2 linked regions of the Anolis sagrei genome follow. The protein of the gene in region 2 interacts with the protein of the main gene of each other region in a pairwise test. Links are inferred from orthologs where the notes say so. Each region holds a gene or a part of one and is shown on either strand. Other genes may lie near its edges. The genes, in order: REV1 and POLI.

Evidence for each region.
Region 1: the proteins of POLI (region 2) and REV1 interact in a two-hybrid assay, tested with the Homo sapiens proteins (2 studies listed by BioGRID). The link is inferred for Anolis sagrei from reciprocal best matches to the Homo sapiens genes POLI and REV1.

What each region holds. Positions count from the first base shown.
Region 1 is NC_090023.1:102,770,287-102,787,115, forward strand, and holds the start of REV1 (DNA repair protein REV1), read right to left. Parts: upstream 8,112-16,829; 5' UTR 7,730-8,111; intron 4,674-7,729; 5' UTR 4,517-4,673; intron 1,234-4,516; 5' UTR 1,146-1,233; intron 348-1,145; 5' UTR 334-347; coding exon 277-333; intron 1-276. UniProt on the Homo sapiens protein: Deoxycytidyl transferase involved in DNA repair. Transfers a dCMP residue from dCTP to the 3'-end of a DNA primer in a template-dependent reaction.
Region 2 is NC_090022.1:284,987,710-285,004,169, forward strand, and holds the start of POLI (DNA polymerase iota), read right to left. Parts: upstream 9,758-16,460; 5' UTR 9,750-9,757; coding exon 9,533-9,749; intron 4,226-9,532; coding exon 4,100-4,225; intron 2,742-4,099; coding exon 2,577-2,741; intron 1-2,576. UniProt on the Homo sapiens protein: Error-prone DNA polymerase specifically involved in DNA repair. Plays an important role in translesion synthesis, where the normal high-fidelity DNA polymerases cannot proceed and DNA synthesis stalls. Favors Hoogsteen base-pairing in the active site.

The sequences.
Region 1 (16,829 bases), on a different chromosome or scaffold from region 2:
ACGTGTGTGTGTGCGTGTATGTAAATGAAACACACACAATTTAAGCTGCTTCAGAAAACCTGTAAGAATATTAATGCAAGGCATTTTCCTAATCAGATTTCTCACATGAACTAAAATGAATGGATTAACATCATGTTCTAGTCAGTCAAAGGATAATAATATTTGGCTACACTGTAGCAATAAAACAGTTATGCTAAAATCATCTCACCACTGAAAAGCATGCAATTATAAAGTTACATCTATAATTTTGTTAGAACATTATCAGCTTGAACATACCCAGGCTCCCCAGCCATCTCTGTCACTGGCACGTTTTCTCCAACCACTTTGCTTCATAATGAAGCTTCTAACTAGGAAGGAAAAAAAATAATACAAAAGGTTATTTTCAGTATCACTTCTAAAATAAAAAATAACGCTAGTTCTAGAAATCTTTATACTGGAAAGACTTTATATGATAGTAAGTGCACTAGCTATCTGTTCACAAATATTAATTCACATGTATGAAAATTCCTTAGAAAACTTTTAAACCTGGGGATACAATTTCTGGGGGCTAAATATGCCCTTGAGGCTGCAACCTCATCTTAAAAATGGTTAAATATTTGTGTTTTTTAAAATGAAAAATGCTTCCTTATGCTTATAAAAGTGAAAAGTAAAGGTTTACCCTGACATTAAGTCTAGTCGTGTCCTGCTCTGTGGGGTGGTGCTCATCTCCATTTCTAAGCCAAATGGTGTCTGTAGACACCTCCAAGGTCATGTGGCCAGCATGACTGCATGGAGTGCTGTAAGCTCTCCTGTAGAAGCCGTACCTATTGATCTACTCACATCTGCATGTTTTCAAATTGCCAGGTTGGCAGAAGCTGGGTCTAGCAGAGGGAATTCACCCTACTCCCTGCATTTGAACTGTCAACCTTTCGGTCAGCAAATTCAGCATCTCAGTGGTTTAACCTGCTACACCACCAGGGGGACCTATACTTATAGTATGGGGGCAAATTTGCTTGATTTTGGCTTTCTCCAGGGGCTACTTTAACTCAAGATACTTTTTTAAAACCAAGACTCCTGGATTTGATTTCTCTCTGCCCAACCTTGCTAAGCTGCTCAGGGGAAGCAAAAGCATGGTAAAATTGCCCTGCAAGTGCGCACCAAAATACCTTGGCTTCCCTGCTTTGTCTTCCAAAATTGTGACCAGGGGTGACATCAGATGACTTGCCATCACCATTTTGGAGCAGATGGTAGATTCTGTGGCAAGATGGAGAGGGTTTTGAGGAATTTGTTTTTGGGAGGCTTTGGGTTTAATTTTGAGGTGCAAACTGCAACAAAAGTTAATAAAATTTTTGGTGGGCTTCGGACGTTTGGGGGGGGGGGAGCAGTGATGTTTTTGGTGGGTTCAGGGGCCTCATTGTTGTATTGCAGGCAAAGATAAACTTGATACCATTCCTCAATTAACAATTGTTTATTAATGATATAAGGTGAAAAGAGAAAAGACTGGAATCAATGTTAAAATCTTATGATAATCAAAGTCATAAAACTATGACACTGAAATAAATATCGTTAAGGAAATGTACACTGGGAAGAGTCATGAAGATCCCACAGGGCTTATCTTCTGTACACTCATTAATTCCCTTGCCCTCCCTCAGCCACAAGGAAGTATGAACACCTGCAACAACAAAGCACTTCAGCACCTTAAAATTAACGACGGTACTATTATGGCATACACTATTGCTCAATTCTTTATTATGTAAGTCTTGGCAAAGCTTATATATTAAGACACATTGCATAAGCTTACACAGGTTGAGTATCCCTTATCTGAAATATTTGGGACCAGAAATGTTTTGATATTATTATTTTATTTTTATTTTGGAACATTTCTATTTGCCTATACATACATAATGCGATGTCTTTATATGAATCAACATCTCCTGCCATTTCTATCTGAGGATTCATGCAAAACATCTATCAGGACCTTGAACTCCTTGATTGTAAGTAGGGATTACAACAACCCACAAAGATGAGCAGGGCAGAATGAAGGTTGTGTCACTTCTCTATCACTTTAGTAATTTGATATTGACAGCTTCCAAATCCATGATGGAAAATGGATCAATTATGGTTTCCCCAGGGAGCCAAACAAGAAAGTGTAGTCTTGCCACAACCTGCCTGATATTAACCCCTTATAAAGTCAAATAATCTAAGCTCCATAAACAAGAATTCAGATGAACGGTATAGAGATGGCCTTCCATGACTGTGATTTTTATATACCATATCCTAAAATATCTATTAAAAATTGCTTATTTTATCTAATTCTTTTACAGTTGAAATCATTCATCCTACAAAACATTCGAATTATGCATGCTTATTATTTTTCCCAATGCCTCCATGAAGTAGGCTATACTAAATAATTTTTTACCAGATCTCCACCCCAGTCTTGGATAAGATTTTTCTCCCTTCTTAGTTACTTTGGAAAAACAAATTCTATAAATCCCCTAAGAAAAATGAGAAAAATCTTATCTTTATCTTGTGTCCACCATTTGTCAAACATATAAATATGGTCCCTGGTTTACAGTCTGTTCAATTTCAAAAGCATTTACCACAGCATATGAACTTTCAGCAGCTTTTAAAGAGGTCTTCTAAGTGCCCAATTGAGAAAAATTGTGAGCGACTACAAAAAGATTATGTATGAAACTAGAAGGTAAGCAGAGTTAAGTCTGTTTAGTATTTGGATGAAGGACCACCAATGAATGTCAGGTCCTGTAAGCTAAATTGCAGAGTAAGGAACTGGGAATGTCACCTCTGAGTATGTCTTGCCTAAGAAAATCCTATGAAATTCCTGATATCACTATAATTTGACAGGTTACTTGAAGAAAGACAGATACACAAATGCAGAGGCTCTCCCACATTCATTCTGTACATCATACTGCTGGGATTTCCCTACAGAAATTGAGGAATGTCCACCAAGTCAAACACTGGTTGGAAAGAGGTTAGTGCTATCTTTCACTGGCACTGTCAATGCTAAGGGAGGCCAGAAAAGGTGGGTAGATAATAAATAGTAAAGAAATAAGAAAGACTTCAGAACTTATTTAGTTAACATACCACTTTATATAACATTAGGTAAATTATATTTGTTTCTGTTATGGAACACAGCTTTATTTCTGTTTATGTGACATAAAATCAGCAGGTATTATCTGCAGGTACTCTGCAGTCCAACAGGAGGAAGAAACACTAAGGGTATGAGCAAAAAGAATCTGCGAACCCCACCTCCTCCAAGATGAACTGAACCACCTAAACTGGGCTCTACAGGCCAATGATACTCCACCTCAGACATCAGAAGAGCTGCAAGACCAAGAACAAGCCACAAGAGTAAAGATGAAGATCCACCCAGAGGAAAAGTGTTCTTGACATACATCAAGGGAACCACTGACCGCATAGGGAATCTGATGAGGAAACACAACATACAAACCACCTACAAACCCACCAAGAAAATTCAACAAATGCTACATTCAGCAAAGGACAAGAGGGATCCTCTCACCTCTGCAGGAGTCTACCGTATTCCGTGCAGCTGTGGACAAGTCTACATAGGGACCACCAAACCCAGCGCCCAAACACGAATCAAGGAACATGAAAGGCACTGCAGACTACTTCAACCAGAGAAGTCAGCCATAGCAGAGCATCTGATGAACCAACCTGGACACAGCATATTATTTGAGAACACAGAAATGCTGGACCACTCTCACAACCACCATGTCAGACTACACAGAGAAACCATTGAAATCCACAAGCACGTGGACAATTTCAACAGAAAGGAAGAAACCATGAAAATGAACAAAATCTGGCTACCAGTATTAAAAAACTAAAAAATTACAACAGCAAAAGAACAGAGAGTAAACAATCAGGCACATCAAATCACTCTCAACAAAAAATTCCCCCCAGCCACTTCCAAGCCATTAAATGCTAATCAAGGTGGTCAGTTGAAACATTCACACCTAGCTCCAGCAGACAAAAGTCCTTTGTCTCACCCTGGTCATTCCACAGATATATAAACCCATTTTCCTACTTCCAACAGACCTCACTACCTCTGAGGATGCTTGCCATAGATGCAGGCGAAACGTCAGGAGAAAATGCCTCTAGAACATGGCCATATAGCCCAGAAAAACCTACAACAACCCACTAAGGGTATGGTTGGGAGGAAGCATGCAAACCATGAAGAGAGAGGAAATGCCATAGCTTTTACTGGGTAAGTCACCTTTCGTGTGAACGAAAGGTGACATATGGGGCAAAGGACACTAAGGTGTTATAGAAAAGAGTAATGAATGTCTTCCTCCCCTTCTTTTCTTTTCACTTTCCAGTCACATTCTAAGGAAAGATTGGGGGAAGATAGAGAGTTGATTGGGTTTGTGTATAAAACATCAAAATCTACAGGGGTAATTTTGTAGCCAAGTACACTTTCATAATTTGCTGTATATGTGGATTTCTCTTCTTTTCCATACGAGTAAAAGGCAAATCTATTATAATTAATAAAACATGTCACCTCCATTTTGTGTGCTTTTGAGATTGGAAGGATCATCTCCAAAAGGACCATCAATCAGAGCTCACAACTATTTTTACCAAGTGAACTGTAAACCTTGAGTAGCACTCCTGTTATCCAGAATTTCATGTTTCTATTGGGGGTGGGATTACAGGCAAGTCTGTAGGAAATAACAGGTGGAAAGTACAATTGTATTATTAACAGTGGCTATACACAAAACTTGTTCTAATTATTCAAATATCCTGAATGAGATAAATGAACTATCACAGAATGTGTGAGAAGAATATATTATCCCAGGAGAATCTGCTAGTTTCAAAGTTGACTTTGTGAATGAACTGCAATGATCTCTCTCACATTTCTTCATTTTACAACATTTTCCAGAACTGTGAACCTCAACTGCCTACAGTTGGAGGCTGGGTCGCAGTGGTCCTTCACTGTGCACAGGCTTTCTTGAACAAAGAAGACTCCACATGCACTGATTCTAGAAAACTTAAATGTTATTGGGGTGAATCATGCAGCTGAGATCTCCTTGCTCAGAGAGGACTGGTACACGTGTGGAACATCACACAACTCACATTCAAAGGAAGGCATACCTGGCTTAAATGTATTGTGCTACATTGCTAGTTCTGATCAACATATCCCTACATGGGATCCCATTCCAAATAACACCATTTCAGAAGCAGGACAATGTTTGTGCTTAAATACTTTAAAGCTTATCTTTACATAAGATTTACACAAGTAAAGGGGTGACTATGCTACAGTATTAATGTCAAGCTGTTTTTAAAATTACAGTTATTTTTTTTAAAATGGCATGCTCATTTGATACCCTGGAAATCCCAAATACTGAGAATGTGACAATGCAAAATATTCATTGAAAGAAGAGATTGAACCAAGAATGGAAAAAGCAGCATGTAATTTCACTGACAGCTTCCTTAAAAATAATGACAGGTTAGTACTAGGGTTTATGCCTAAAGACAATCTTATAGAAACATAAGGAATTTAAGTCTCAATGAATACAATGGGCCTTGTTTCTCAGTAAACCACACAAAGCCCAGCAAATAAAAGATGGGGGCCTCTATTACAGTGGGAAAAAGGACAATGTCAAGGAAAAAGTCTATTTATTTATTTACCCTATTTATACCCCATCTTTCCCTACCCTGAAGGGGGCTCAAGGTGGCTTACATATAGGCAATTATTCAAAGACAATATAGACAACAATGTATGTGGAAGCCGTTTTCTTTGTTTTAACAAAGTTAAAGTAAACAACAGTGTCCAGATACTACAGCGTCTAATACATTGTGGTTTCGATCCAATCTATGAATCTACTTCTTGGTGAGTAAGCAAAAAGGGAATGGACCAAGATATTTGTCTGATCTTTTTGTCCTGAAAGAATAATTCACATTAATGCTTTATTTACCCTCTTGCTAGAACAGCGGTTCCCAACCACAAGAACTAAAATATGGTCCGCGGCTTCACCGTTACTACACTGTTGCAACAAGAGTGACTAGTCTCACAAAACCCTCTTATAGTGGTGAGGCTATATGGTTTTCTATGGGTGAGCAGATGGCATTCGTTCTCAATCAGAAACTAGAGCTGATGTGGTCTATCCAATGCAATTTTCTGGATTGGCACTCCAAATAACCAAACTGAAACTTAAGTTGACCGAAAACTGATTCATAACCCTTTTGGTACTAATGTTGGAGAGTGGTCTCTGGACAAAAAAGATTGGGAGCCACTGTGTTAGAAGGAAGGGACTGAAATATGCAAACCCATAGGCTCCTAAATGCAGAGATGATTGACTTGTGCTCTTATCCTCCAAGACCAGCTCCACAGAACTTCTAACCAGAGTAATGACTATTTTCTCCTTACATTTTCCAGCTTAAAAATCCTTTGAAAAAATCCTTTACTTAGTTTGACACCTTCAATTTTCCAAGCACAGTTATGATATCCTGTTTTATGTAAAGTAGGCTCGTCATCAGAGGATATGGCGCCTTGGTGGTGCAATAGGTCTAACCAGGCATGGGCAAACTTCGGCCCTCCAGAAGTTTTAGACTTCAGCTCCCACAATTCCTAACAGACTCAGGCCCCTTCCTCAGCCATTTAAGTGCTTGAGGCTGTTAGCAATTGTGGGAGCTGAAGTCCCAAAATACCTGGAGGGCCAAAGATTGCCCATGCCTGGGTTAAACCCTTGTGCCGGCTGAACTGCTGACCTGAGGTCGGTGGTTCAAATCTGCAAGATGGGGTGAGCTCCAATCTGTCAGTTCCATCTTCCCATGTGGGGACATGAGAGAAGACACCAGATGGTAACACATCTGGTGTCCCCTGGGCAACATTCTTGCAGACAGCCAACTCTCTCACACCAGAAGCGACTTGCAGTATATTCTCAAGTTGCTTCTGATGCACACGCACACCCTAAAGGATAATTCAGGTTTTACAGTGGTCTTAGAATTAGCCTTCCATATCTTAGAAATGCCAAGCCAGGCTTGATTCAGGAGAGCCTAGAGAAGAGGATAAAGATTTGTAACAACAATAACAACAACGCCTCCTAAGCCTCTTCCAGACAGCCCTATATCCCAGAACATTAAGGCAGAAAATCCCACAATATCTGCTTTGAATTGGGTTATCTGAGGGCCCTTCCACACAGCCCTATATCCCAGAATCTCAAGGCAAAAAAATCCACAATATCTACTTTGTGCCGGGTTATCTGAGTCCACACTCAGATAATGTGGGATTTTCTGCCTCGATATTCTGGGATGTAGGGCTGTGTGGAAGGGGCTCTAGACTCCATTAAAAACCCGCACTTCCTGAGGTGGCCCAGTGCACCACTCCAGCTGCCTGTCAGTCCAGGCAGGGAGGCTGCAGGCAAAGGTTGTACGGAGGAGCCACGGGCACCGATCGGCCGCCATGGTTCCCGGGACGTGCCCGGGTTGCAGACGACGCGCCCGGGGGCGGAAGGCGCTCTCTGCCTGACCGCTGGGCCACCCTGCCTCCTCCGTCCCGCCTTATGTCTGAGGCGGTCCTCCCCTGCTTTGACACCTCCATGCCTCTCATATACACACAAGAGCACACGATTATGGGGCGGCCGGCCCTGGGGAAGGCGCGAGGAGGGCTTGGGGCCTGCTCCGCCTCAGGAGCGGCCAAACGGGAGTCGAGCTCCGCCGCGGTTTCCCTCCCTCCTTCCGTCCTTCCTTCCTCGCTCCTGTCAAGGCGCCTCACCTTTTGCCGCGTCCCTGGGGCGTCGCCGCCGCCGCCTTCCGCGGATCCTCACATCGCGTCCCGCCTCTTTCCTCCTCTCAGGCGCCGCCGACAGCCCTCTCGGCCGCCTCCTCCCCCTCCCCCTCCGCCGCCGACCTTCCTTCCTTCCCTCAGAACACACCGCGTCACGCACGGCGCGCGGAGGAGAGCCTCGCGCCACCAACCGCCTTCCCTCCCTCCCTCGTCGCGCGCACCAGCTGCCGTTTTAGTCCTGGAGAGAGAGACAGAGAGAAAAAAGGAAGAGCGCGCGCCCCCTAGTGGCTCGCGGGCGCTACCAACGGCAACCGCGAGCGAGAGAACTTCCCTCCTTTTTTTTTTCAACCTCCTCCCCTATTTATTTATTTCTTTATTTTATTTTGAAAGCGGGAAGGAAGGAAGGAAGGAAGGAAGGAAGGAAGGAACCCCCTCTGAAGCGTCCCAGCGTCACGTGACGTCTGGTGAAGACGGACAAGCAAGCCACGCCCCCGTGTCCTTACCTCGCTCGCTTCCCTTTTCCTTGCCTCCACTGCAGCGCCCTCTAGAGGGAGAGAGGCGGTGGCGTCCTTGTGACGGCGCTGCTTGATCTCCCCGGTCGCGAAGGAAGAGGGCCAGCCCCGCCGCCGCCGCACTGAGGGGAGTGCTATATATAGACCCGATGGCTATAGATACACACTGCGCACAGCGACCCCTAGCGGGGCCCGGAGAACTGCAGCCGGAGAGAGTCTGGCGCGGCTTCATTCGGAATACTGTTTGGGGGCGGGGCTTCCTTCCTTGGAGGGTGACATCCCAAAAAGGCAGGGCTGGACTAATCCTTACACAAAATAAACCCGTGCAATAGGGCATCAAATAAAGAGGACTTTTGCCATTGCTGGACTTACCTTGCAAAACTGCAAATGGTGAGTAGAGCCAGGTTAAACAACAACAAAAGATCATAAAAGAAATCAGAAGACATTTCCTTCTTGGGAGGAGAGCAATGACCAATCTTGATAAATTAGAGAAGAGTAGAGACATCACACTGGCAACAAAGAAGATCCGCATAGTTAAAGGAATGGCAGGCATGTAGCCGGGGGGGGGGGGGGGGCTTGAGGGGCTTCAGTCCCCCCCCCCCATTCTCATGGTGGTCCGCGAGAAGGCCTTACTGGTACATTATTTAAACTGTTATGTTTATTCATATCATGATCTGATCACCATGCTCAATATATCCCATGTGCATGGGGGTTTTGGGGTAACGATACAAAAGGTTTGCTAGGGTAGACCCTCTTTCACTCAGACTCAGCCCCCTTCCGAATCAAACTCAGCCCTCCCCCCCCACTCTCCCGAATCAAAATCCTGGCTACAGGCCTGAGGAATGGTATTCCCATAGTCACCTACGGATGTGAGAGCTGGACCTTAGGAAAGGCTGAGCGAAGGAAGATAGACGCTTTTGATACTGGAGGAAGAATCTGAGAGTGCCTTGGACTACGAGAAGATCCAACCAGTCCATACTTCAGGAAATAAAGCCCGACTGCACATTGGAGGGAAGGATATTAGAAGCAAAGTTGAAGTACTTTGGCCGCATCATGAGAAGACAGGAAAGCTTAGAGAAGACAATGATGCTGGAGAAAATGGAAGGAAAAAGGAAGAGGGGCCGACCAAGGGCAAGATGGATGGATGGCATCCTGGAAGTGACTGGCTTGACCTTGAAGGAGCTGAGGGTGGTGATGGCCAACAGGGAGCTCTGTTGTGGGCTGGTCCATAAGTTCATGAAGAGTCGGAAACGACTGAATGAATAAACAACAACAATCATAAAAGACTTTGCAATTCGAAAAAGTAGGAGAATGCCTTTAAAATATAAATAAACACTGACACTATTGTGTTGTCAAAGGCTTTCATGGCCAGAATCACTGGGTTGCTGTGAGTTTTCCAGGCTGTATGGCCATGTTCCAGAAGCATTCTCTCCTGACGTTTCTGCTGCATCTATAGCAGGCATCCTCAGAGGTTGAGAAATGTTAGGAGAGAATGCTTCTGGGACATGGTCATACAGACCGGAAAACTCACAGCAAAACACTGACACTATTCTCTCAACTCCCACCATTCCTAACAGCCTCAGGCCCTTTCCTTTCCCCCCTCAGCCACTTAAGCCTAAATTTGACCATGCCTAGTCTAGATGATTAGATGCAATCAGGGAACCCTGAGGCCCCATTTACACTGCCATACAAAACCCAGATTATCCCTCTCCCATGGCATTATATGGGTCTATGCTACTCTATAATACAATTAATCTGAATTTTAGAATGCAATATGGATGGGGTCTGAGCAAAGCTGTAGATGCTAAGATGATTTGGAGGTCTCTCATTCAGAAGAGAAATTGTATTCAGCATCCTGTTTTGTGAACATTGGTCCACTTCATCATGTTTCAAGGTGGGTGTTTTTGCTAATTATTTGAATGCCTCCAGTTTAGTGGATCTCCTAGAAACCACAAACTTGCCTGTTTCAGGGCAATTGTATCAAATGACTCAAAGCCTGTATTAAACAATGCAGAATTATTTCTAAAACTGTGTGCATACAGAATAACAGTTGCAGTTTTTTTTTGTTCACACATATAAATGTCAGCTGTATTCAAATATAATTTTCATTTGATTGCCATATATCATACAACATTTGGTTATATAACTATACATGCACAACTCTACCATTGACATCTTTGACATCTTTGAAGGTTATCCAACAGCAAACCACAAATTGACCTTTGACAAGTTGGTGACATTTCAGTTTGTAGATCTCAGAATCTGTTCCCAATTCACCAGTTACATGATTGTTTCAAGTAGTAGGTTTGGGGAAAGGGCCTTCCTGAGTCCTTGGAAAACTTCTGCTTGTTGGAAAGATAGACCAGCATATTTTCTTTTTCATGTCAGGAACAACTGGAGAAACTGGAGAAACTGCAAGTCACTTCTGGTGTGAGAGAATTGGCCGTCTGCAAGGATGTTACCCAGGGGACACCCGGATGTTTTACCATCCTGTGGGAGGCTTCTCTCATGTCACCACATGGAAAGATGGAGCTGGCAGGTGGGAGCTCACCCTGCTCCCCGGATTCAAACTGCTGACCTTTCGGTCAGCAGTTCAACCAGCACAAGTGGTTTAACCCAGTCCCCAGGTGTTTTAGCCTACAACTCCCATAATTCCCAGCCAGTTTACCAGCTGTTAGGATTTCTAGAAGTTGAAGGCCAAAACATCTGGGGACCCACAGGTTGAGAACCACTGGTTTAACCCATTGTGCCACCGGGGGGGGGGGGGGTGCTTCTACAGACCAGCAGTAATCTGAATTAATTTAAGGCAGGTTTGCTGTTATTGTAAATTGCAGCAACAATATCACTGTGCCTGTTGCCACATTAAATGAAAGCTTTAGGAGGTCCCTGCACAACATGGTTATCTTTGTCTTTCCCCTCTCCCATGGCAATTGGACACTGAGCGGAAAGGTGGCGATTCATCATTTGGGTGTGAAGACTTACTTTGCACAAATGACCACTGCATGACTGTAGCACTTTGGTGGCTGAGGTGCAGCCATGCCATCTTCTTCGGGCCCTTTCACACTGTACAATTATGACACTATGGTTCCCCTTTAACAGTCATAGGTGTACCCCATGGAACCCTGAGGTTTGCAGTTTGATGAAGCAGTAGAATTCTCTGACTGAGAATGCCAAATACCCCTCCCTAAACTGCAAATACCAAGATTTATATGATGTTGCCATGGCAGTTTATTTATTTATTATTTACAACATTTGTATCCTGCCCTTTTCTATCCTGAAGGGAACTCAGAAAGGCCAGAATGGCCTTATACATCAGCAACAATGTTGAATCCTAGTGCTATAATCCTATAACGTGAGAAGACTCTCTGATTGGACTGGATTCTTCATATTTGATATGTCCAAATTATAGCTCAGTGCCTCTTAAAATGATCTGCAGCACCTACAAATTATAGAAGCAAAGATGTTCTCAAGGATAAATCTGTTTCATTGTCATGATTCTGAAATGCTAACAGATGCCTAATCAGAAAGCTAAATTATCTGATCTGTTCTGTGATTTGTGTACACATGGATTCCTGGATTAAATAACAAAAGCAAAAATAATAACACTGCAGAGTCTGCGTTTAGAGTCAATCCTGCATGTGCATTGATCGATAGCATTGACAGCTGACTATAATGGGTCGAGAGATCACATTAGTAGGATTGTGTATAACACTAAGGTTGGTCTGCTCTGCTCACATGTCTGAGACAAGACAGTACTGCATTGCAGGCACAGCCTAGAGTTTGCATGCAACGCCAGGCCTCTGCTTTGCCGCACTGTACCTGCTTTATCGGTATCATTCATTACAGGACGTTCATAGCTGCTGTCTGCTACAGTGACTCACTTTAGACATGGATACATTTGGGGATTAAAGTGCAAGGATAATCTATGTTTAACACACTGTTGCTGTCAGGGAAAGTAAAGCACGAGGGATGTCTGCTCTGGATGCAACTGGCTTTTACTGACATCTAATGGGCAGAGAGAGAGTTTGCAGGGAGCAAACGTTTAGAAAGTCAACAAGAAAACAACATAGTAGCTTATACTGTAGAATCAGTTATCAACATAGAAAGTTTCAAATTCATTTTGGAATATGCTATTGTGAGTGTTGGTGTGATTTTATTTGAGGCAACATCAGATCATTGTTACAATTGCCACTGACTCTTGCAGAAGGATGTATTTAATGTGTGGGGAAAAAGCATCCCAGGAACTGTATGGGTTAGCAAAATGTATGAAGATATTTCTAGGCGCACCAAGTCCTCATGGTATCTGGTGGCTTCTCTATCAACAGTACAGTGAATCTTCTGTGCATTTTAGTGAGAACTGTAAATAAGCTATCCAAAGTTATGAACACAGGGAAAGGGAAGCATTTAATTCTTTGAATAGCTTATTTAAAACCTAGACTTAGGGCAGTTTCAGACAGCACTAAATCACGGGGGCAAAAAATCCTGGGACTTCAGAAGAGGTCAACATACAGACCTGTTGGTACTGGAATTTCTGCTTCTGTTGTCCAGACTTGATGCTTTGTTGCAAGATTTAGAGCAGTGGTTCTCAACCTGGGGGTCACGACCCCCAGGGGGGTTGTTTGGCCATTTTCCAGGGGTTGCGAAGGCACCTTGGTTAGCCCCGCCCCCTCTTCAAAATGGCTGCCAAACAGCCAGGTACTCCAGGTCGGCTCCTCCTCCTCCTCTTCCCACAGGGCTGCATGGAGTCAGGAGGAGGAGCTTAGAGGCAAAGGCACACAAGGGAGAAGGTACACCATTTTTTGAGACCTTCGACCCTCGCCCCCTGGTGAGCTCGGAAGGGGTGGGGGTTAAGCAGAAGGCTCCCCATATGGGCTGGCTCTTGCTGTCCAATTTTGATCCAGGTCCATCATCGGGGAAGGTCAATTTCTCTGGTGTGGGTGAACTACAACTCACAGAAACAAAGGTCAGTTCCCCCCAAAGCCCTCCAATAATCTCAGCATATCAGTATGTGTTCCAAGTTTGGTCCAATTTATGGTAATTGTTGGAGTTCAGAATCCCAAACCTCTCCAGTGTTTTCTATTGGTCATGGGAGTTCTGCAGGCCAAGTTTGGTTCAATTGCATTGTTGTTGGGTTTCAGAATGCTCTTTGATGGCAGGGGAACTATACATCCCAGCAACTCCCAAATGCCAAGGTCTATTTTCCCCAAACTTCACCAGTCTTCAGATTTGGGCATATTGAGTGTTTGTGCCAAGTTCTGTCCAGGTCCATAGTTGTTTGGGTTCACAGTGCTCTCCAGATGTAGGTGAACTACCTCTCCTGTAATTCACTATCAATTTCCCCCAACCCCCTCCAGTATTTTCTATTGGTCATTGGGGTTCTGTGTGCCAAGTTTTGTCCTGGTCTGTAATTCATTGGGGTCTCAGTGGTCTGTTGAAGTCAGAGCTGCATTGGATGAAGGTACTGCAGCTCTCCCACCACTGCACAATCAAACAGCAACACACACTTTCAAGCCAGGAACAGAACTTTGTCATTATTGACACTTTTTAGAGCCTGGCTGCTTGGCCATTTGTCCAGAAAGATTTGGTTGTGTACTTGTGACATCAAACAACAGGGTGCTGTTCCTGGGTTATATATGTCTGTTCCTGATTGCAATTCTTGTGAAAAGATGTACAACATTGACTAGGGAGCCACAATTTTGTTGTGGCCAGAGAAAAGGTGCCCTCCACACATTTCATGAAGTATCTTGCACACAAACAAAGTTATTGCCTTCTACTCAAGTATCACCTTCATTCTAGGAACCAACAAATCAGGAACAAACATCTAAAACCCAGGAACAAACCCAGATAAAAAATCCCGTGATTTCAGATTGCAGGGACATACAGACATGCGAAGATCTGCATATTTGGCTCAAAATCATGATATTCCCACTCCTGAAAATCTCATGCTTTTTGCCTCTTGTAGCAATTGCTTTCGCGTTTACAGGGAACAGCATCTGGTCCCCTTTCTGTTTGCTGCGGAAGCTCCTGGGATAAAGGTATTGTCTGGACGAGTCCCCAGACTAATATCCAGGAAAGATTTACTGTCTCACAGACATGGAAGGCTACTTGGAGGCTTATACATTACCTGTTTTTACAGTGTAGATATTTTTAATCATCACATAAAAACACTTATTGGCTGCTTGAAGCTTGACAAATTGGCACTTATTCCCTGCTCAGGAGCCAGGTAGACTTTGCAGCAGAAATCCAGCTTGTTTTGATGGGTTAATTGTTCCTTGGAAGAATCAAATTTCCTAGGAAGAACCCAAGGAATGTAGCTGACATGGAACAGATGTTTACCATGCAACAAGGTAACTCAATGAGCTGAAACCAATTGCATTATCTATGCAACCTTTAATTGTGTCTGTAAAGGAAATCCAAGAGTCAATGAGTTGCATTGCTAGCCTGTATATAGATCACTGAATTAAAACCTGGGGCTCTAAAAGAGGGTTACAGCAACTGTGAATGCTTCCAAGAGAGAGCCTTTTGTCTGCCTGGATTTCTCCGCTAGAGTCGCGTTAACCTATCAATCATTGGCATGAAAGATTTGGAATTTCTACTGGAATTGTTGCCTTTGCTTTCACCTTCTGATTTTCAATTAGAAATTGAAAGAGGCTGTTGAGCTTCCAATTGTAAATGATGGTTTGGTCGTAGTCAGTTTGTTGTTCATTTGCTCCATGCAGCTACATGAGATTTTTTGCTTCAAATTACTATACAATAGGGAATGTTATAGTTGAAATGAGATAGGGCGATTTTTCCTGATTATACAAAGGAGATAAATGATTGGAAGAGACAATTTACCAAAGCAAACATCCCAGAAAGGTAATTCAATTTAAAGTATCACATTAAGTATCTGATTATATTTTATGTCTTTGGCTCTGGCAGAAAAATCTTTTCTTACTAATCTTAAAACCAAGCCCAAGGCTGAACTTCAGGGCTCCACACCAGTTTTTAGTTAGTTTTTTCACAACCAAACCGATATTATTGTTTACTGAATTAAGTTACTCTCAGCATAGCAGACAGCCGTTTCTAGTCTCAGATTTCAAACGTATGTGTAACACTGTCTAGAAACATTTGTAACATAGACCTCACCAGCCCAATTTTTGGAGGCTATTTATATTTGTATCTGTAAAATGACTGACATTGCATTCCCGCAAGAAACACATTTGCTGACAAAGAATGCAGACAGCTTCCAGAAAAATTAGATTGGCCCCTTCCACACATCTGAATAAAATCCCACATTTTTTGCTTTGAACTGGAATATATTGCAGTTTGGACTCAGATTACCCAGTTCAAAGCAGATATTGTGAGATTTTCTGCCCTGATATTCTGGGTTATATGGCTATGTGGAGGGCCCTATGTTACAAATGTTTCTAGACCACATAAAGGCATGATACTCCTAATGCACAAACATTTTTCTATTTCAGTACAGTGGGCAATAATAGACTTAGGTAGACATCCTTTATTTTACTTGTAAGATATTTTGAAAATTTTATTGTTCAGATTAATGGTTATGGGCCTAATAGTGGTACACTAGGGATGTTTCATAATTCTGTTGATAATCTTGTTGATATAGAATACAATTATTGGATTACTGGTAATGATTTTCATGACATTTTGGATATCTTGCTAGATAAAAATACATTTCCATCAAGAGAACATTCTTTAGTGACAGCTATTTTACAGGCATACATGGGTTACTATAGTTTAATTGCTGCATGGAGAACTGTATACCTAGGAGACAGGGAGTATACTTTTATTTCTTTGGTCCACTCTAATTGTTTCAGATTGGATCATTTTTAAATTTCTACAGCTTTGGTTAGTAATGTAAACTACATGCAAAACAGATTTCTTAAATAGCAGGTCATACATGGGTCGTCTATAATTGCTTTCTTTTAATGTTCCTAAACCTTCTAGTCCACCACACCAGATGGATAGGAAGCAAAGTAACCTCTGCTGAAGATGTGGCAGGCACAAAGAGACATATTTTCATTTATGGTACGAATGCCCCCAGTTGAAGAGTTTTTGGAACAATATATTTATGGAAATAGGTAACATTATAGAACTAAACATCACCCCAGATGCTAGGTTAGCATTACTAATGGACACCACAAAGTTGAATTTAGAAATGGAAAATAAAGATTTGGAGGTTATTTTACTCACAGTGGCAAGAATTATAGTCACAAGGAATTGGAAAATAGTAACCAATTTCATGCTGGAAGTATGGTATGGGGAGATATGGAATGTAGCCTTAAATGATAAGCTATCAATGGAAACGAGGGATCAGTTTTTTATTCATATTGGTCGGTTTTTATTAAACATGTTTTAGAGAGTGAAAAAAGAAAACAATACAACCTTGTTGGTCAGGAATTTTGCGTATTGCATTTGTTTAATGGCTGACCCATTTAGGTCTTGGTGGTGGTGTTATGTGTTTGTAAAATGTTCATTGTTTCATGTTCTGTTTACACTGTAAGCTGTTAATGTATGTAAATAAAAATTATACATAAAAACAACCTTCTAGTCCCTGGCATTTTAATATT
Region 2 (16,460 bases):
GGGTTGGAATTTTAATAGTGGCAACTATTTATTTACATTTAATACAAAAGTGATACATGCCACCAAGTTTTCCAGTCCTTCAATATTGTCGCCAGCATTGTGTACAACCCATTTCCAATGATGTGGAAGTCGTAGGACACCTGTTGCAGCGCCTGTTCTGTTGATAGTTTGAATGGAGTGGTCTAATGCCACAAGAATCTCTGGAACAGTTCTGAAGCAAATGCCACAAAGTGGTTCCTTCATCTTACAAATTAAGTCAAAGTCACAAGGGCTTAAGTCTGGAGAGTATGGTGGATGGTACAGCACTTCCCAGCCCCATCAATCGAGCAAATCAGCCACAGCTTGCGCTGCATGTTGCCGAGCATTGTCATGCAAAATAATAGGAGCGTTCTGCAGAAAGTGTCGTGGGTTTTTTCTCAAAGCTGGTCTGAGATGGTGTTCCAAAAATGAGCAGTAATACTGTGCATTGACGGTCTGATGTGGGGGAACGGTATACTTTTACATTGCTGGGGTTCTGACAAAATTTCAAACTTCGTGGTGACCCGTAATGACGCCATTCATTCTATTGGCGTTTCAGTTCTGGCTGGTATGATCTGGCCTAAGTCTCATCCAGTATAATGATACGGCATAAGAAAGCCTCTCCTTCGCGCTCATAGATTTTCAAGTGGGTACGAGTAGCATCATTACTACATTTCCGAAAAATGATGTGGAACCAATCGTGAAGCAATTTTTCTCATGCCTAGGCATTCCTTCAGAATGTGGAGCAGAGTTGTATGCATAAATCCTGTGTTTTGGGCCAGCTCACGAATCATATGGTGTTGATCACTGTCTACGAGTGCGGCAACAGCATTCACTTCCGCTTCGTTGACACTAGGACAACCTGGCCGATGCATGTCTGCCACATTTTTGGCATCCTGCGTTGAAGACTTTTACCCACCTTGCCAATGTTCTGTAAGGCAATGCAGATTCCCTGCAAGCCTCTTGAAGGCCTTGATGACACTGTCATGTGTACGACCTCAGACACATTCAATCTTTATCCAACTCCATTGTTCTTGTTTCGAAAACATCGTGACAACACTCAACACTTACTTTAGACCACAAGCTAATATGAAACTCAGTTCTTTGCATCACTCCACATGCGCGTGACGTAAAAAGGGCAAGTCTTTTTGCTCAGAGGTAAGGTAGGTATGTAACTAATGTGTGGTATATGTTACATCCTTTGGTTTCGTTGTGTGACGTCTTTACAGAAGTGTTGCCACTATTAAAGTTCCAACCCTCATATTATACGGCTATAACTCTATGCCCACTTTCCTGGAAATACACCCTGCTGAACACAACTTCTGAGTAAACAGGGTAGCTTAAACTGCAGTTAAAAGATATGAGGATTTTCAGTTTTTCTCACTACAGAGCCAAAATTCATATTTCCTATCAGGAGACAGAAAGAAAGATTTTTTTCTGTTCTCAAGTCTACTGAGGATCTCTAGACATCTGTTATGGAATCCTTTTCTGAAGACAGGGGAAGGGTACATCCACACTGTAGAATTAAAGTTTGACACCACTTTAACTGCCATGGCTCAATGTTATGAAATCCTGGGATTCGTAGACTGGTGGGGCACCAGCACTCTTTGGCAGAGGTGGCTAAAGATGTTGTAAAACTACAACTCGTGGGATTTTATACCATGAATCTCCTGTCTTGATGTAGCCTTTTCACTTCTGCCTTCTTTCTCAATTCTGTCTCCTGGTTTGTCCTCTGGTGCTAATTACTAGCTCCATCCCTTGGCTCCTGGCTCACTAGATAGGATCACTGCTGTCCACAACCTAGCATGAAAAATTTCATGGCAGCTTTCCTAGTGCTCCTCATTATGCTCACCAATGAGCAGATGTGCTCATTGATCAAGTTACCAGGTATCTGGCCTTGGCCCCAGATATCCAGATGTAAACTCAGACCTGAAAAAATGCACATTTCAGGCTCAACATCCTCACAGCCAATAACACTAACTGTTAAGCTCTGTCTCTTGTGACATTCATTTTCAAAACCAGGAAAAGACTCTGGGACTAGAACCTAGACGCCTGAAGTTCAAGGGATTGTGAGCAATGTACTTGGGACCTTATGAATACAAGCACATGCTCCACCACTGCGTTATGGTCAAGCTCCAAATAAAGAGACAGAGGGCCCTTCCACACTGCCCTATATCCCAGCATCTGATCCCAGATTATCTGTACATCCCAGATTATATGGTAGTAGAGACTCATATAATCCAGTTTAAAATAGATAATCTGGAATCAGATCTTGGGATATAGGGCAGTGTGGAAGGGGCCTAAGAAATGTACCTATGGCTTAAGCCTCTGGGACAGATATAACAATGGCATCTTCCACACAGCTGTATACAATCTGCACTGAACTGGATTATATGGCAGTGTGGACTCAGATAACCCAGTTCAAATCATATACTGTGGATTATCTACCTTGATATTCTGGGTTATATGGCTATGTGGAATGGCCCTATACATCCAGGAAAAAAGAAGAAGCAAGGAACTCTACCATTATGCACTAATAACGACGACTGAGGCAATACCTGTAACCTTATAAGACATTTCCCGATACTTTGTCAAATCTTCTCCATTAACCAGCAACAAGTCAGGGCACTTTTCTTTTGCTTCTTTCACAGACATGAGTTTATTGACCCCAAAGCTTCTGGCTTCATAATTACAGGTGACAACAATGTATTTCTGCTGTACACCTGAAAGAGACAAATATGCAATTAAGTAGGGGGGAAATCTATAATTTCGCACATCCTGACATATCTTTCAACTTGAAGGCATACGACAACAAATGTAGGCTACAAGGGGAATGTCAGGAGGATAGGAAAGATAACCAAGTTCTTGTGTATAGGAAAAAGTGTAATTAATACTAACAAATGAGAGTGAATAATCCACCAAAGCAGCAGATGGTTCTATCCAAATGTATGGGTTCCACTGGAAAGGAGATAAAAATAGCTTAGAAATTATTAAAACCTTGGGAATAATTTAAAGATGTTAAGAGCTGTCTGAACATGGCATAGTTCAACTTTGAGGGTGGTGAACACTCCTCCATTGGAGGTTTTAAAGCAAAGGTTGGATGGTCATCTTTCAGGGATGCTTTGGCTGTGGATTCTTAAATTAGCAGAGAATTGTATTATATCAGCGTTTCTCAATCTGGGGGTTGGGATGTCAGAGGGGTTGCCAAAGATCATCAGAAAACACAGTATTTTCTGTTTTGTGTGGGAGGTTTGGCCCAATTCAATCGTTGCTGGGGTTCAAAATTCTCTTTCATTGTAGGTGAACTATAAATTCCAGCAACTACAACTCCCAAATGCCAAGGTCTATTTTCCACAAACTCCATCAGTGTTCACATTTGGGGATATTGAGTATTTGTGCAAAGCTTGGTCAAGATCCATCATTGTTTGAGACCACAGTGCTCTCTGGATATAGGTGAACTACATCTCCAAAAGTCAAGGTCAATGCCCATCAAACCCTTCCAGTATTTTCTGTTGGTCATGGGAGTTCTATGTGCCAAGTTTGGTTCAATTCCATCATTGGTGGAATTCAGAATACTCTTTGATTGTGAGTGAACTATAAATCCTAGCAACTACAACTCCCAAATGAGTTGTAGTTGCCCCAGTATTCAAATTTGGGCGTATTTTGGGTTTGGCCTCATGTTAGCCGCCCCAAATCCCCTTTGGGGAGATGGTGACAGGTTATAAATAAAGTGTGTTATTATTATTATTATTATTATTATTAATAATAATAATAATATTGCCAAATTTGGTCCAGTGAATGAAAATACATCCGGCATATCAGATATTTACATTATGATTCATAACAGTAGCAAAATTACAGTTATGAAGCAGCAACAAAATAATGTTATGGTTTGGGGGGGGGGGTGTCACCACAGCATAAGGAACTGTATTAAGGGGCCGCGGCATTAGGAAGGTTGAGGAACACTGTATTAAATGGTCTTTGGGAGTACCTTCCAACTCTGGCTCTATGATTCTATAATTATTCTCCTGGAAAGACAGAGGTGCCCTTTGGAAGAATATTCAACAAAATGTAAGCTTACCTAAAGGTTTGCCTTTTAATTCAGGGTTGCAGATCATTTCCACCTGCGCATAAAAGCAGTCCAAATCCAGATGCACAATGATTCGGTTCTGGGAGCCTTCTGTTGACACCCATTTGCCATGACAAGCTACAATGAAAGGTAATAGTTCAGAAATCACCCCAATTACAAATTAAATTTGGGGGTGGGCGGGCTTTTATATGCTTTAGGGGGCACAATTTGGGGCCCCAAAGACTGTATGTGACCCATGGGCTATGCTTTTCCCACCCATGACCCAATCCCACAAATCTTCATATCTCACTAGGTATACCAGTATATTGCAGACTGTGCACTGAAATGCCAAGACTAGAATACACACAGGTTACCTACCCTCCCTCAATAATACAGAAAAGTAAGTACAATATCAAAAGATCGATGCTTTTGAGCTGTGGTGTTGGAGGAAAGTTCTGAGAGTGCCTTGGACTGCGAGAAGATCCAACCAGTCCATCCTCCAGGAAATAAAGCCCGACTGCTCACTGGAGGGAAGGATACTAGAGACAAAGTTGAAGTACTTTGGCCACATCATGAGGAGACAGCAAAGCCTAGAGAAGATAATGATGCTGGGGAAAGTGGAAGGCAAAAGGAAGAGGGGGCAACCAAGGGCAAGATGGATGGATGGCATCCTTGAAGTGACTGGACTGATCTTGAAGGAGCTGGGGGTGGTGACGGCCGACAGGGAGCTCTGGCGTGGACTGGTCCATGAGGTCACGAAGAGTCGGAGACGACTGAATGAATGAACAACAAGTACAATATTGTGGAAGCTTTTGGGACCAACATGAGAAACTGCCCTTCAGACATTTAGAGTAAAGGAGTTGAACTACAGTAGTTGTGTTCATCTAAAATGTAATACTAGAGGAAACCTCAACAGATATAATACTACCAGAAAGGCAAAGAATGAGTCTGTGAGGAAATCAAGTCAGATCTTGCACTAGAAGCCAAATAACTAATCTCAGGTTATTGCACATGGATATATAGCAGACCTCCACTTTAATTGGGATTTTGGTCAACAGGACCCCTCTGAAAGTGGAAAAACTACAAATAAAAAACCTTCATCTGAGGCCCCTTCTACACTGCCATATAATAACAACAACAACAACAATAAGCCTTTATTTATACTCCACCCTATCTCCCCAAGGGGACTCAGGGCAGATTCCAACAATCAAAAGGCCAACATTCAATGCCTCAATACAACAACAAATACAAACATAACAATGCAAAATAACCCAACATACTGTATAAAAACATAACATGACACAAAAATTAAACAAAATGCAACCTATCAGCTAAATTATATTTAACCTAAAACAAGAACATCAAACATCCACATCAGTTTACAGAGACCAATAAACGTTCACTAAAATATGTAAGTAGGTTATGTGGCCAGTGATGTTAATGAGGCTGACAGGGTCTACAAAGCCCGAGAACAATAACAGATCTCAATCAGAGGTGTAGTAGAGGCATATCCTCATCTAATCCTCCTCCTCTCTGTATGCTAATAAGCAAAAGTAAGTTTTCAGTTGTTTTTTGAAGGAGAGAAGGGAAGGGGGCATCTTTATTTCTTTAGAGAGGGTGTTCCAGAGGTGTGTGTGTGTGGGGGGGGGGGGGGAGGGCAATCACAAAGAAGACCCTTTCTCTCTCTCGTTCCCACCAGCCATGCTTAGGATGGGGGTGGGACCGAGAGCAGGGCCTCCTCCACTGACCACCATCTCCATAGAATCATAGAATCAAAGAGTTGGAAGAGACCATCCAGTCCAACCCCCTGCCAAGAAGAAGGAATGTTGCATTCAAATCACCCCTGACAGATGGCCATCCAGCCTCTGCTGGTTTATAGGCGGAGATACAATTAGTCAAATAGCCTGGGCCCGAACCAGATTATCTATTGGTCTTCTAGTGCAACTCCATGGTCATTTTCCATCAGTCTGACCAAAGAGACACTATGATGGACCAAAAGAGAAGATATTTGTCAAATGCGTAAATAATCAAATACACAAGATTTAAATCTGCAAATGTGGAGGTGGATGGGTTTCAATAAATGAAGCCATCATTTGCAACACCAGAGTACGTTTATTGATAACTGATGCTCCTGGAGTTCCCAAACTCAAAGGGCTGCTGTATGTCAAAGCCTGCTTGCAAACGTAAAACAACAACTGTGGTCTCATTGCAAGAGAGGATGAGTACCAAACCAGAAAGATCTGGTGGCACTATTATCAACTTGGGTTTCCCATGTATCCGCCATCCTGCCCTATTAGTCCTTATGGGCACTAGCTGCAATGCCCATTGAGTTTCAGAAACTCTTTGGAGTTAGCAGCCGTGCTACAAGAAATCAAAGGTTTTTTTTAAAAAAAACAGTAGGATAAAATAAAGTCAGTGTAGGGTTGTTTTAGTCTAACATACTTTGTCTTACTTTTGACTTGGTTCCAAGCCAGTACCTGTCATCAGTAATAGACTGGATGTGTATGAAGAAACTAAAACTTAATCTAGATCAAGGCAGCCATGGTTAATCAAAAGGCAGACTGAAAACAGGAATTCAAAGGTGGTTCTCAACCTTTGGGCCTCCAGGTGTTTTGGGCTTCACCTCCCACAGTTCCTAACAGCTGGTAAGCTGGCTGGGATTTCTGGGAGTTGAAATCCAAATCACAACCAAAGGTTGGGAACCACTAGTTTAGCCGGTATTGCACCACTGGACATCTGTCGGAAAGTATCAGCTAGTAATGAAAGGACCAAGGCATTGACATTTCCGGCCCAGCATGCTATTGGTTTAAATAAAAAAACAGCCTCCTGAGATCGAGAAAGATACTCACAGGAACACCTCAGCAAGCGAGAGTGCAAAAGTGGCAGACTAAAACCCGGAACCTCAATCAGTGGCTGATACCAAATGAGAGACTCCCTCCTGGGCACATAGAAGAGAAGATGACCTGGAAGGTGCTGAACAGATAGCTCTCTAATACCACGAGATGCAGAGATAACCTTAAGAAATGGGGCTACAAAATGGAGTCCACAACATACAAGTTTGGAAAAGAGCAAACCACAGACTACCTACAATGGACGACCTTCTCATGGCAATACCAGAGGTACTCCAAGTGGCCGGCTTCTGGTCAAAGGACATTTAGTGTAATGCCAAGTTTTTTTTAACCTTGTTTGTCTTTTTAGATGCATTTTAATTGTATCCTCAACTTGCTTCTGACATGATAAATAAATAATATGGTAGGACTGATTTAGTCTAACACAATTTGTCTTGCTTTTGACTTGGATCCAAGCCAGTACCTGTCATCAGTAATAGACTGGATGAGGATGAAGAAATTGAAACTTAATCCAGGTAAGATCAAGGCAGTCGTGGTCAGTCAAAAGGCAGACTGATGAGAATACGAATTCAGCCAATGTTGGATGTGGTTACAGTCCCTTCTGAACATGAAGGTTCACATTTGCTAGGGTGCAGGGCATAAGACCCAGGTGAATGTGAAAATGTGTGCCCCAAACTCCAGCAAAAGTAGATATGACCATACGTATCACAGATTTCCATAGCATATGCCATTGTAGCTGAAGTGGCAACAAACTGGATTGATTCTACACCAGGCATGGGCCAACATGTGACGATCATGCCATCACCACTCAAGCAGGGAGCTTTGAAATGGTTGAACAGAAGCTCTCAGAAGCTTTAGGTGCTCTTACTGCCTATTACAGGAAAAACAACTGATTCCTAATCCATCTAAAATGCAAATGTGTGCTTTTTATCTTAAGAACAGACAAGCATCTCAAGCCAGCACTGGATGGGGATACAGTCCCTTTTGAAGATGCAGGTTCACATTTGCTAGGTGCAAGTCATAAGACCCAGGTGAATGTGAAAACCTGTGTCCCAAACCCAGCACAAGTAGATCCCTGACAGTACACATCACAGACTTCCAAAGCATGAGCCATGGTAGTTGAAGTGGCATCAAACTGGATTGATTCTACATCAGGCATGGGCCAACATGTGACGATCATGCCATCACCACTCAAGCAGGGAGCTTTGAAATGGTTGAACAGAAGTTCTCCAAAGCTTTAGGTGCTCTTACTGCCTATTACAGGAAAAACAGCCGATTCCTAATCCATCTAAAATCCAGATGTGTGCTTTTCATTTTAAGAACAGGCAAGCATCTTGAGCTCGGAGCATTGCTGCACATGCAAACACCTGGGAGTCACTCTGGACTGTGCTCTGCAGGTTCACATTTGCTAGGGTGTGGGGCATAAGACCTAGGTGAATGTGAAAAACTGCCCCAAACCCCAGCAAAAGTAGATCCCTGGCCGTACACATCACAGACTCCCATAGCATAAGCCAGTGTTTCTCAACCTGGGGGTCGGTACCCCTGGGGGGGTCGTGAGGGGGTGTCAGAGGGGTCACCAAAGGCCACCAAAAAACACAGTATTTTCTGTTGGTCATGGGGTTTCTGTGTGAGAAATTTGGCCCAATTCTATCATTTGTGCGGTTCAGAATGCTCTTTGATTGTAGGTGAACTATAAATCGCAGCAACCACAACTCCCAAATGTCAAGGCCTATTTTCCCCTCAGACTCCACCAGTGTTCACATTTGGGTATATTAAGTATCCATGCCAAGTTTGGTCCAGATCCATGACTGAGTCAACGGTGCTCTCTGGATGTAAGTAAACTACAACTCCAAAACTCAAGGTCACTCCCCCCCAAACCCTTCCAGTATTTTCTGTTGGTCATGGGAGTTCTGTGTGCCAAGTTAGGTTCAATTCTATAGTTGGTGGAGTTCAGAATGCTCTTTGATTGTAGGTGAACTATAAATCCTGCCAACTACAACTCCCAAATGACAAAATCAATCCCCTCTCAACCCCACCAGTATTCAAATTTGGGCATGTTGGAAATTTGTGCCAAATTTGGTCTAGTGAATGAAAATACATCCTGAGTATCTGATATTTACATTACAATTCATAACAGTAGCAAAATTACAGCAATGAAGTAGCAATGAAAATAATTTTTTGATTGGGGGTCAACACAACATGAGAAACTGTATTGAGGGGGTGACAGCTTTAGGAAGGTTGAGAATCACTGGCATAAGCCCTGGCAGTTCAAGTGGCATCAAACTGGCTTGATTCTACACCAGGCCTGGGCAAACTTTGGTCTTCCCTCCAGATGTTTTGGACTTCAACTCCCACAATTCCTAAATTGTGGGTGTTGAAGTCCAAAGCACCTGGAGGGAAGGCCAAAGTTTGCGCAGGCCTGTTCCAGGTGTAAAGGGAAGCTAGTTGCAACACAAAGGGAAGCTTGTTGCCAGTCAGCCAAACAAACGCAGGCGCCTCCTGTGCGCTCTTTCCGTGCCTTCCTGCCTCGGTTCCCACGAGCCTTTCACTCCCAAATCCTCCTCCCAGGCTGCTAAAAGGAGTCGAGGGTCTTTACAGGCAGGGGGAGGATTCCTCGCAGCACCGGAGGGAGAGTCTGGGCGCAACCATGCCGCTTCTTCCTCCTCCTCTTCCTCGTCCTCCATTTCGGGCACCAAACACCGCCTCTCTTCGCCTGCCCTGGTCTTGGCCAATGGCGAGGTCAGCTTCCCTGGAAGGAGGAGCGACGGACCAAGTGAAGACCGTTCAGGCAGGCCCTTCTCCGCCCAGGCCATGACGCGTGTCACGGGCGTCTCGTGTGAATGAGAATGTGCCCTTTCTTTAGGTGCACTCTGACATCACTTAAAACGCCCTGGATCCATGCGATGGAGTCCTGGGAGTTGTAGTTTGGTGAGGCACCAGCCCTCTTTGGCATAGGAGGCTAAAGACCTTGTAAAACTACAACTCCCATGGCTTTATATCCAGGCATGACCCAACTTGGTCCCTCCAGGTGTTTTGGACTTCAACTCCCACCATTCCTAACAGCCGGTAGGCTGTTAGGAATGGTGGGAGTTGAAGTCCAAAACACCTGGAGGGCCCAAGTTGGCCCCCATGCCTGATCTGCGAGGGTTGAATGAAAAGTAATGCCTCCACCTTCATAGCTCCTCAACAGATGGCAGTACTGGTATGCGGCAGGTACTGGCTTGCTCAGTAAACTCTCCTCTACAGTTCCATTTTAGTGGGAAGCCTTAGCATTGAACAGTTGTGTTGTTAAAGGTGAACTATGGAACCCTGCGCAGACTTAAGCAACGTGCAGTCATTGAATTCTTGACAGCAGAAGGTGTCACTCCAAAAGAAATTCATTGGAGAATGCAAGCTGTGTATGGTGATTATGTTGATGTGAGTACTGTGCATCGTTGGGCGAGTAAGTTTAAAGATGTTGAGGTGGGAACATCTGACTTGCATGACAAACAAAGAGTTAGACGTCCTGTGACAGAAACCACCAAGTTTCACAAGCAAAAGGTTGACAGATTGATTCAGGACGATCCTCGTATCACTCAGAAATGTATTATTTATTTATTTATTTATTTAGCAGTTTTGTATACCAGTCTTCTCACCTCCATCGAGGGACTCAGGCTGGTTTCCAACATCAATATTACAAACAATCATTAAAAACATCGTATTCTAGATTACACTAAGACATTAAAAACAAAATACAAACATATAATGACAATGGTCAGTCGTCATCATAAAATCATCCACCCATATCACAGAACTTGACTCATTCTTCGAATGCCAGTTTCCAGAGCCAAGTTTTCACCTGTTTTCTGAACGTCAAGATAGAGGGGGCCGTTCTGATCTCCAGTGAAAGGGGGTTCCAGAGTCGAGGGGCCACCACCGAGAAGGCCCTGTCCCTCGTCCCCACCAGACGTGCTTGTGAGGCCGGTGGAACCGAGAGCAGGGCCCCTCCAGACGATCTTAGCAATCTTGATGGTTCATAGGGGAGGATACGTTCGGACAGGTAAACTGGGCCGGAGTCGTTTAGGGCTTTATAGGTTAACACCAGCACTTTGAATTGTGCCCAGAAGCTAACTGGCAGCCAGTGGAGCTGGCGCAACAGAGGAGTAGTATGCTCCCCGTACCCCGCTCTTGTTAGCAGCGTTGGACTAGTTGAAGCTTCCGGGCAGTCTTCAAAGGCAACCCCACGTAGAGAGCGTTGCAGTAATCTAAACGGGATGTAACCAAAGCATGGTGGAGGCATTACTTTTCATTCAACCCTCGTATAGCATTGAGAGCCATAACAGTTGAAATGTGTTAATTCTACAATAAAAATGCTCCCATTAGTATAAAAACAGAAATAATCTGGAGAGACAGGAAATCTTTTCGGAAGAGAATTTTTAGTGCGAAATGGATGGAATGTTTCCCCTCCGTCAGAGTATCTGGCATTTGTACTCATAGGCCTAACATCCTGTTAGCGACATGCACATTGCGCAGACATAAATTACATTTCACACGTAATTCATGCCTGCCTATGTCACCGCTGGAGCACAGAACCTCATTGTTGCAACAACTGGGCTGGTTGCCATTGCGTCTCCAAACAATTGAAACTCTGGCGATGACCTTTAAAGCCTTCTATGGCCGGGATCTGGGCTGTGTCTCATTTTCTGTGTTCCTTGGGACTTAAGAGATCTTAGCCATTTCTTTTCTGGTCTAGTAAATGGAATTTCTGCTATTTGATTGTATGTGGCACTTGAAGAAGACAGTTGAAATACATACAGTAGACTCTTAGTCAGCCGTCACCCATGGGGATTGGGAGATGCTAGATCAGTGGGTCTCAACCTTCTGAATGCCACAACCTCTTAATACAGTTCTTCATGTTGTGTTGACCCCCAACCATAAAATTAATTGGTACTTCATAACTCTAATTTTGCTACTGTTATGAATCGTAATGTAAATATCTAGTATTCAGGATGTATTTTCATTCACTGGACTAAATTTGGCAAAAATACCCAATACGCCCAAATTTGAATACTGGTGGAGTTTGGGGGAAGATTGATTTTGTCATTTGGGAGTTGCAGTTGCTGGGATTTGTAGTTCACCTACAATCAAAGAGTGTTCTAAACTCCATCAACGATGGAATTGAACAAAACTTGGCACACAGAGCTCCCATGACCGACAGAAAATACTGGAAGTGTTTGGTAGGCATTGAACTTGAATTTTGGAGTTGTAGTTCACCTACATCCAGAGAGCACTGTGACTCAAACAATGATGGATCTGGACCAAACCTGGCATGAATACTCAGTATGGCGAAATGTGAACACTGGTGCATTTGGGGGAAAATAGACCTAGATATTTGGGAGTTGTAGTTGCTGGGATTTATAGTTCACCTACAATCAAAGAGTGTTCTAAACTCCATCAACGATGGAATTGAACAAAACTTGGCACACAGAGCTCCCATGACCGACAGAAAATACTGGAAGTGTTTGGTGGACATTGAACTTGAATTTTGGAGTTGTAGTTCACCTACATCCAGAGAGCACTGTGGACTCAAACAATGATGTATCTGGACTAAACCTGGCATGAATACTCAGTATGTCGAAATGTGAACACTGGTGCATTTGGGGGAAGATAGACATTTGGGAGTTGTAGTTGCTGGGATTTATAGTTCACCTAAAATCAAAGAGCATTCTGAACCTCACCAACGATAAAATTGGGCCAGACTTCCCACACAGAACCCCCATGACCAACAGAAAATACTGTGTTTTCCGATGGTCTTTGGCACCCCCGCTGACACCCCCCTCGTGACCCCCACCCAGGGGTCCCGACCCCCAGGTTGAGAAACACTGTGCTAGATAGATGTAGTTTCTAGTTCCTTGTGAGTTACTATTAAAAATAGATGTACCATACCATATTATAAACTCTGTATTGACTTGATATTGATACTGAAATACAGTATTTAAAAGCAAATTAAGAAAAATAGAGATAAAGATTAATATACTGTTTTACTATATTATAAAAATGGCATTTTTATTAAATGTTGTTATTTCTTTGATAGGAGCCCCCGATGGCGCAGTGGGTTAAATCCCTGTGCCGGCAGGACTGAAGACCGACAGGTCGCAGGTTCGAATCTGGGAAGAGGCAGAAGAGCTCCCTCTATCAGCTCCAGCTCCTCATGTGGGGACATGAGAGAAGCCTCCCACAAGGATGATAAAAACATCAAATCATCCAGGCGTCTCCTGGGCAACGTCCTTGCAGACGGCCAATTCTCTAACACCAGAAGCGACTTGCAGTTTCTCAAGTCGCTCCTGACATGACAAAAAAAATTCTTTGATGTTTTTGCCTGTTGCTTGAGAGTTCTGGTTGATTGTTTTCTGGTTAACTGAGAGTCTAGAGCAATTAGTCCAAAAATACATTGGTCTTTTGGAAAATAAATGTAAAGAAGATTATCTATGGATGTAGCTGGATGAGCTGAAATCATAAACTGAAATAATAAACTCCCATGTTTAAAATAAAGCATGATGTGTTGTATGTTTCCTGAGTCATATTTTTAATTAATTCAACAAGATTTTGCTGCCTGGTGTGCATGTTGAAACTTGTTAGCAAATGTTTGGGCATCTCCTCCAACTGCTACATTCCAGTTTAAGGGATGCAACCTCTATCACATTGTACCAGTAGTTAAGTCACATGTAGCTCACCAATGTTGTTGGAGTTGTCTCCATTAGCAAACAAGAGTAGATAATGAAGGATAATGGGAATTGCAGTCCAACTATATCTGCATTGCAAGTACACGTCGTCTATCCTTGCTTTAGGACCGTAACAAGGGAGATTAAAGGTAGAAATCGTATGTTGTCCCAGGGTGCATCTATACCAGTGGTTCTCAACCTTTCTAATGCTGCGACCTCTTAATACAGTTCCTCATGTTGTAGTGACCCCCCAACGATAACATTATTTTTGTTGCTACTTCATAACTGCAATTTTGCTACTGTTATCAATTGTAATGTAAATACCTGTTATGCAAGATGGATTTTCATTCACTGGATCAAATTTGGCACATATACCTGATACCCCCAAATTTGAATACTGGTGGGGTTCGGGCAGAGATTGATTTTGTCATTTGGGAGTTGTACTTGCTGGGATTTATAGTTCACCTACAATCAAAGAGCATTCTGAACTCCACCAACGATGGAATTGAACTAAACTTGGCACACAGAACTCCCATAACCCACAGAAAATACTGGAAGGGTTTGGTGGGCATTGACCTTGAGTTTTGGAGGTGTAGTTCACCTACATCCAGAGAGAACTGTGGACTCAAACAATGATGGATCTGGACCAAACCTGGCACGAGTACTCAGTATGTCAAAATGTGAACACTGGTGCATTTGGGGGAAGATAGACCTTGACATTTGGGAGTTGTAGTTGCTGGGATTTATAGTTTCCCCACAATCATAGCAGGAGAAGGGCTTTTGATGGAAGGATTTGTCATATGGTTCCAAAAAGGAAGAGAAAGACAGGTGGAGAGATCTTTAGCCTTCTCTGCCAAAGGAGTTCCTAAGACCATCAGAAATATGTGTTTTCTGATGGTCTTTGGTTACCCCTATGAAACCCCCGTCACGACTGCCCCCCAGGGGTATCGACCCCTAGGTTGAGAAACGCTGTAGAATTAATGCAATTTGACAACTCTTTAGCTGCCATGGCTCAATGCTATGGAATTGTGGGAGTGGTAGTTTTACATGGTCTTGTAATGTCCCATAGTTGATGGTGGTTGGGGTCATGCCTAGCAGTTGGTGTTGGGTAAAACAGGATACAGTAGAGTCTCACTTATCCAACATAAGTGAGCTGGCAGAACATTGGATAAGCAAAAACGTTGGATACTTCAGCAGTGTAGATGCACTTCCAATCTCTTTGACAAACATAGCCACTAGTGAGTAATGACTTGGAGAAATGCCTGAGCAGTCTCTGGAGGACTACGTGATTTCCACCCCAGTCTTTATAGTACGCCACAGTGCTCTGGGCCTATGGACTACATGTCCCAGAATTTTCCCAGTAAAGATACTGGCCGGAGGGAATACTGGGAACTGTGATCCATAGCCTACAGTCCATGGTTAGTAACTTTCTAAACATCTGAGTCCCTACCCTTCTTTCTGTTGTACTTCTGCTATGTGGCTTTCTTAGGAATTTGAGTTTTGGAGAAGAGGAAGGCATGGAGTTTCAAGCTATGCCTTTGGCAAACATGGACTTTGCCTTTATGACACTCTCAGGAAAAAACAGAAACCGAAAGTTTTCAACTATCAACATTTAATGAACTGGTTTGCTGTGAGTTTTCCGGGCTGTGTGGTCATGTTCCAGAAGCATTCTCTCCTGATGTTTCACCCACATCTATGGCAGGCATTCTCAGAGGTTGTGAGCCATGGTAGCGAGGCAAACTCTGAGGATCAATTGCAACATTCACACTTGCCTCAAGCAGACAAGAGTTCTTTCTCCCACCTCACTTGCCCAGTTTCCAACAAACCTCAAAACCTCTGAGGGTGCCTGCCATAGATGTGGGCGAAACATCAGGAGAGAATTATCCTGAAACATGGCCATACAGCCTGGAAAACTCACAGCAACCCAGTGATTACGGCCATGAAAGCCTTTGACATTTAATGAAGTTTTAACATCATAAAGATACATAGTACAACACTTGCACCCATGGAGCAGATACATGCAGTTTCATTTATCCGCATTCAGCAAAGTATGTTCTCTCCAGGCATTGTATAAATCCTCTGGTATGACTGTATTCTTGGGCCAGAAGTCCTTCCCTTAAATTGGCTTTACTGATTTCCTTTTTTTTTTAGTGTATCCAATGCAAATGCTGTGGATACAGGCGCCATACTTACCTATATCAATTTTTTTTGTCATTTCTCACAACTATTTATTTTTTATTTAAAATATTATACTTATATTAAGAGCATGGACCCAAAAGTTTTAAAACACATCTAAAATGAAACTTAAAGACAACTGGGTTGCTGTGAGCTTTCCAGACTGTATGGCCATATTCCAGAAGCATTGTCTCCTGACGCTTCGCCTACATCTATGGCAGGCATCCTCAGAGGTTGTGAGATTTGTTGGAGACTAGGTAAGTGGGGTTTATGTATCTGAGGAATGTCCAGGGTGGGAGAAGGAACTCTTGTCTGCTTGAGTCAAGTGTGAATGTAGCAACTGATCACCTTGTTTAGCACTGAATAGCTTTGCAGCTTCAAAGCTTGGCAGGAAGCAAAATGAACAAAAAAAATCTGGCTACGAATATTAAAAAACTAAAAAAAAAAATCAGGATAGTCAATAAGGAACAGCACTCAAAAACACGGGAAATCCAGACAAGAAATAATCAGGGCCAGCTACCACCTCCGAACAAAGGATTCTCCTAGACAGGAAGTAGCCAAACTTTGAAGCTGCAAGCCTATTCAATGCTAATCAAGGTTATCAGTTGCAGCATTCATACTTGCCTCCAACAGATAAGAGGTCTTTCT